2 linked regions of the Caenorhabditis elegans genome follow. The protein of the gene in region 2 purifies or fractionates together with the protein of the main gene of each other region. This does not show direct contact. Each region holds a gene or a part of one and is shown on either strand. Other genes may lie near its edges.

What was found. Proteins that work in one complex are often made in the same cells at the same time.
Region 1: the proteins of dnc-3 (region 2) and arp-1 purify together in Caenorhabditis elegans (affinity purification with western blotting; 2 studies listed by BioGRID, with this or other methods). This does not show direct contact.

What each region holds. Positions count from the first base shown.
Region 1 is NC_003280.10:15,118,255-15,122,010, forward strand, and holds the start of arp-1 (Actin), read left to right. Parts: upstream 1-2,046; 5' UTR 2,047-2,054; coding exon 2,055-2,147; intron 2,148-2,222; coding exon 2,223-2,662; intron 2,663-3,428; coding exon 3,429-3,603; intron 3,604-3,653; coding exon 3,654-3,756.
Region 2 is NC_003280.10:3,552,118-3,555,234, reverse strand, and holds dnc-3 (DyNactin Complex component), read right to left. Parts: upstream 1,456-3,117; 5' UTR 1,400-1,455; coding exon 1,328-1,399; intron 1,278-1,327; coding exon 1,155-1,277; intron 1,110-1,154; coding exon 999-1,109; intron 947-998; coding exon 846-946; intron 797-845; coding exon 688-796; 3' UTR 618-687; downstream 1-617. Other genes in the region: W10G11.19 (DUF4105 domain-containing protein), read right to left, coding at 1,840-2,055, 2,099-2,465, 3,047-3,117.

The DNA.
Region 1 (3,756 bases), about 12 Mb from region 2:
TCGGATTTTTGACTGATAAGATGCCTATTAGGTAGGCACAGCAGGCTCGGAGGAAGCCGCCCCCCCCCCTAAATGCCCACCAACAAGTCTACAAAATGACCCAGTGTAGTATGCACTTCCGATATTTTTCATTAAACCCACCGCGGCAATGCAATTTCGAAGAGATCCACCACGAGTGTTCCCGTTTTCCAATAATGACTCCTTCAAAACGACGACAATTTGCATGTGGAGCGAGTGTTCTAAGGAATTCCAGGGATCTTCTGATTGCAAAAACTGTTTCCGGAGCTGAAATACATAACAAAATTATTTCAAATTCCCCTCGGTAAATATATGTATTCTTTTAAACAAGCTGAAACTCACCCTAGTCTTTCAGGACTTTCAATAAATAGAGTTCTTCGGACCACATCGACAACAGTCGGCCATTAACCAGTACGTCTGTTTTTCATTTCTCTCGCCAAAATTTTCATATGGTGCAATTGTAGTCGGAGTCTTGACAACAGATTGACAAACTTCTATGTGTCATGTAGATGTCCTCCTAAATTAAAAATTGTTAAAATGTGGCAGAAGACACATGCGCAATACCTCAAACATGTCATCACTCAATTCCGATCCAAACTACGATTATCTGATGTTTTCGTATCCATTGTCTTTATCAGAACTTCCTTTAGTCATGCGAGCTGGTACTTGTACTGGCGTGGTGGTCACTGAAAGTAAATGAAATTTCTGTCGGAATTTGTGAGAAAAAATGAAACATGTTTAACTTTGCAAAGCTACAAAAGATTATTTCGATAAACAGTTTTCAATTATGGAAAAAGAAACGAGCAGAAAATATGAAAGCAACAAGGATTTGAAAGCAGAAAACAATAAAAAAAAACTGTGCACCACAACGGTCTGCAGACAGCACTCTATTGTGAGAGACGCCGAGAGAGGGAGGAAGAGGGCCATGTTGCGCAGAGATCACAACACTGCGGGCACTGTGCCAAGTATCATTCCGGATGGGAGACGTGTGTGTGTGTGTGTAGTATAGACGACAAGATTAAAAAACAATGCAAGAGGCGTTTGTTTTTGTAGATCACACGTAGATCACAATGTATTTGTAGATAACAATAAAACAGAAATACGATTTGAGAGATAAATAAACTGTGATCTACGCAAAATTTACACAGAAACTGCTGAAAGTGATGACTACTGTATACGGTTCGAGAAACTTTCGAGAAACTTTCCCCAACAACTTTCTCCAACTTTGGACAACTTTCGGCGAAGAAATACAAGATAGGATATTCAAATGAATGAAAAATGTTTTTTGGTTTTATCAACTTACTTTTTGGTTCAGGTTTTTTTTTCTAGCAAGCCATTTTGTTTTCAAATGCTAATTTGTCTTGTATGTAGTTAATAAACTTCTATTTTCGGTGAACAAAATCTCGAAAACTTCATTTAAAACTTGAAATTCATCAATTCCCACTGCAAACTGCGTATCGGAATTCGGAGTCTCGTTTGGCCACGCCCACTTTGTTGTTTGAACTTCAATTTTGAAATTAACAGTTTAGAGCTCTAATTAGAGCTATATATTGCAAAATATTTCCAATGTTTTGGTGATTAAAAACTGTAACACATTTTAAATAAATATTTTTATGGAAAAATTTCCAAAAAAATCCATGAAAATTCCACAGCAACGGAAGTTTGAAATTACAGTACTCTTTAAAGGCGCGCGCGTAAGAGGATTGCTTTCTTTTTGCTCAGGTCCGCATCGAATCCTGTTGTAATATTTTGCCAGAAGTATAGGTGCATGTATTCTTATTATACTATTGGAAAATCAATAGTTTCCGATACTCTCGCTATGTATTTGTTCAGCCTCTGTCCTCCAAAGTACAAAACCCCCATTTCTCCGCGCAAATGATGCATTGTCCGCAAACACGGCGGCTGCAACTCTGCGTACATTTCGCAACTCTCATTTAATTTTGTTTCCACAGAAAATGCCAATTAATCCGGGGTTTTTTAATTGTTTCAAGCTCAAATTTTGGTTAAAACTGTTATTTTATCTTTCAGGTTACAAAATGGACTACGACGTCATCGCCAATCAGCCTGTGGTCATCGACAATGGCTCCGGAGTCATTAAGGCTGGTTTCGCCGGAGAACAGCAGCCAAAGGTAGGCAATAACGAATCAAAACTTGAGATTTTTGAATTTTGAATTTTAAATCATCTTTTAATTCATTTTTTACAGGTTCGCTTCGCCAACTTCGTCGGACGACCGAAATATCACAGAGTAATGGCCGGAGGGCTCGACGGAGACATTTTCATCGGACCAAAGGCCGAATCAAACCGCGGGTTGTTCTCAATCGAATACCCAATGGAACACGGAATCGTCAATAACTGGAGCGATATGGAAAAAATTTGGGAGTACATTTTCGGACAGGATCAGCTGAAAATCTTCCCAGAAGAGCATCCAGTTCTGCTCACCGACGCCCCATTGAATCCGTTGAAGAACCGCGAGCGATCTGCTGAGATCTTCTTCGAAACGTTCAATGTTCCAGCGTTATATATTCAAATGCAAGCTGTGCTATCGCTGTACGCCACCGGAAGAACGACCGGAGTCGTTTTGGATTCAGGAGACGGAGTCACACATGCTGTTCCGATTGTTAAGGGATTTGCAATGAAGCATGCGTCAGTAAACTCTGGGAAATTGCTTTAAAACACGCCTATGTGGTCACAATGACCGAATATCATGATAAAAAAATTCAAAAAAATTTTCTAGATTTTATATGATTTTTTTTTTTTGAAAGTTGCGAAAATCCCAGTTTTCCCCTAATTCCGGTTTGAATTTCCGCCATATGAATTCGTTCGCTGGAGCGCACTTGCATTTCATTTTATTTTTTCTCATTATTTCACTGGTTTTTCTTCATTCTTTGTGTATTTTTATCGGAATAAGAGAGAAAAATTCAAGATAAATTGCAAATTATTTATTTAAAAATCACTGAAAATGCGTAAAACTGTAAAATTATGAGTTCCGGCGATAGCAAACCTGAAATTAGCTTAGTTCACAGTTTCACCCATTTTCAGTGATTTTTAAATAAATAATTTGCAATTTATCTTGAATTTTTCTCTCTTTTTCCGATAAAAATACACAAAGAATGAAGAAAATCAGTGAAGTAATGAGAAAAAATGAAATAAAAATTTAAATTAATAAAAATAATGCAAGTGCGCTCCAGCGAACGAATTCAATTGGCGGAAATTCAAATAGGAATTAGGGGGGAAAACTGATATTTTTGCAATTTTCAAAAAATCATATAAAATCAGGAAAATTTTTTTGAATTTTTTAATCATGATATTCGGTCATTGTGACCACATAGGCGTGTTTTAAAGCAATTTCTCCATTGGGCGCACTCCACCTTTAAAAAAAGCATTTAATTCTAAAATTTCCTTTTTTCAGAATTCAACGAATGGATTTGGCGGGTCGCGATGTCACCGAATACCTCCGAGTCCTTCTGCGCAGAGAAGGATACGAGTTCCACAGGAGCAATGAGTTCGAAATTGTCCGAGAGATGAAGGAGAACGCGTGCTATTTGGCGTTGGATCCGACGAAAGTGGAGAATAATTCAGTGAAAGTAGTGATTTTTTTTGCAGTGAAAATGAGCTGAAAATCGCATTCTTTCAGTCATCCTACGCTCTGCCAGACACCACGAAAATCGAAATCTCCAACTCATTGTTCCGTGCGCCGGAAGTGCTCTTCAAGCCGGATTTGATCGGAACCGAGTGGC
Region 2 (3,117 bases):
ACGTGATGTTAGGGTGTCTCATTTTGGCTTGATCTACGTAGATCTACAAAAAATGCGAGAGAAGAGACGCAGGTTTCTCAACTGATTTCGCATGGTTAAGAACGTGCTGATTCCCGAATTTTTTGTAGATCAAACTGTAATGGGACAGCCTGGCACTATATGAAATTTATTGGGATGCAAGTACGCTCCACTGATAATTGATTTCAAAAAAATTTTAAAAATACTGATGCAAGCGCGCTCTACTGGTAATTAGCTGTAATTTTGGATTACAACTGCGCTACATAGAGATTTTGGGAAAATTTTGAAAATTACCTTGCTGCAAGCGCGCTCCATCGAGAATTACTAAAAATTTTGGAAAAAAGTGAGGTGTAAGTGCGCTCCACTGAGAAATATTCAAATTTTCGTAAAATCTAATAATGCAAGCGCGCTCCACGGAGAAAAGTTCAAATTTTTTGAAAAATCTAGTAATTCAAATGGAGAGAAAACTATTTTTCTTGCGAGGAAAAAAATTGGAAAAAAACAAATTTTCCAATTTCCCGAAACAACGTCATCATCTTGCCCACTTCGAAAAGTCGATAATTGCTGCCAATTCGTCTTTCTGTCTAACAAAAAACTTGTAGAATTTCAATTTTTACAGGAAAACAAAGAAAATAAAAATAAATTACAATCCAGCGAAAAAATATTTAATTATTTAGCTTTTGCGTTGATTTTCGTCTGCAGATCCAGCACTTTTTCGGTGATTTTTTGGTTGATCATTGACCGCTCGGCGACAAGTGTCTGGAATTCTCCGTAGGTTCTGAAATTTTGGAAATTTCAGATTTTTAGGCTTTAAAAACTGCAATTACTTGGTCCAGTCCTCCAGGGCCTTCTCGTATTTTTCGATTTCAGCGTCAAGCTCCGGTTGAAGTGCAGCCACTTTTGAGAAGAGCTCCTGGTCGAGGCAGGGCTGAAATTTTTTATTTTTCTTCAATTTTCTCTGAAAAATCGCAAAAAAAGACCTCAAGAGCATCTGAAAATTGTTTAATCCGTTCCGCTCGTTCATTGATCAGCTTTTCCGCGTATTTTACAGACTCTATTTTGTCAGTCAGCGATCCATATGGGCCGGATGTCTGAAAAATCGATTTTTCACAGAAAATTCAGTTTTTCCAACGTACTTCCGTGGCGATTTTGCTCAAATGCTCCAGCTTTTGAATGGGAATCGACATTAGCAGATTCGCCTTACAATCATCTCGTAATTTGGATTGAAGAGCCTCGATTTGAGAGGGAATTGATGTTTTCTGGAAAAAAAATTGGCATTTTTATTGGAAATTGCGCGAAAAAAGCTTACCGTGGTGAGATCATCGATTCCTAGAACTTCTTCAATTTCAGAAATCTTTTTTTCAAGCTCGATCATGTCCATTTTCAGATTTAAAATCAAAAGATCGAAAAAGAAAAATAATAATTGAGAAATTGTGTGCAATGGGACGTGACGGTGTCAATGCGTACTTTGCATTTTATTTGACGCGCAAGTGATTTTCAGTGTGGAAACTAGGATATCGCCTGCAATTCTACATTAAAATTGTCTGTTTTTTATTAAATCTTAGTATGAAAGCTTAAAACTGAAAATTTTCATCGAAATTTCTTGTTATTTCCTTAAAACAGCTAAAAAAAGGATTCTTTTGTCCGCAATCTACCGTGGCGGTGTACCTGCGGAACTGGCATTTAAAATGACGAGCAGGGAAAATTAATTAATTCTTAAATATAAATTTTTAATGCAATTTTAATCTGTAAAACATCAAATTAAAACAAATTAAATTATTTATTTTTACCAAATTACAACAGAGCAATTTTTTAAAATTCCTATAGCTCGTCCCTAGTCCACTCCACGGCCGTGAACCCTTTCTCTAGCTCTTCCACGTCATCATACCGCTCCAACAGATTCAAACGAGCAATTGGGAACTTGAAGTTTTCAATGAGCTCCTGGCAGTGAACTGGCTCCAAATTCCGAACCCATGAAAGAATTCCAGTGAAATTGTCGTTTTCAGCGGGTTTTGTGTGGATGCACCATCCTTTTTCCTGGAAAAAATGAATTTAATTTGAAGTTAAAAAGTGAAAGTACCTGTCGCCGAATGACAATATAGCTCGGGGAATTCACATTAAAAACGCTCATCACATACAGTCCAAACAGGTCGAAACCGGTTACAGCCGAAAAATGAGCAATTCGATCGCCGCTTTGCTGCTCGGCAGCAGATTTTTTGAATCCTTCAGAATTTTTAGAGTCCAGTGGGTCGAAAAATACGACCAGAGGCTTCTGGGTTCCGGTGGCGAAGAGGAAATCGGAGGGACTTGACAATTGATGACAGCCCGGGTGTACACCGTCCTCCAAGTAGTCGACCATTCGATTCCAGTTGAGATCCTTATGAAGTGTGAAGGCTTTTACGAAGGGGTCATAGGGCTTCATCGTGATGAAGGCAGGGTAGATGGACCTGAAAGATCGGGAAATTTGAAATTTGGAAAATTCGAAAATTTCCAGGAAAAAAAAACCAATTTTTCTCGTTAAAATTCAATTTCTTCTGAAAAAAAATACATTTTTAGCCAAAATCCCAGTTTTGGGTCTTGGCACGAACGAATTTGGCTATCGTGTGGGGGTACTGTAGTTGGAAAGTTACGTTCGCGGCAGGACCCAAAAAGTTGCGATTACGACTAAAAACTCGGACTGGCATAATATTTTTTCGATCAAATCCATGCTTTGGGTCTTGGCACGAACAAAACTTCTCAGCTACCACGTGGTGTCAGAGTGTCTCCTTTTTGATCTACGTAGATCTACAAAAAATGCGGGAGAAGAGACGCAGAGTTCTCAATTGATTTCCCATGGTTAAGAACGTGCTGACGTCACTCTTTGCTAGGGGAAAAATTCCTGGATTTTTGTAGATCAAACCGCAATGAGACAGCCTGGCACCACGTGAGCTACCATGTGGGGTACTGTAGTTGGAAATTTTCGTTCGCGGTAGGACCCGGAAAGTTACGGAAAATCAAATTTTGAACAACATTCTCCACCAATTCTTACCATTTCTTGACCTCCTCGGACACCAGCGCTGTCAAATGGAACCGCCCGTGATTTTCCCGCGCAAATTTCGC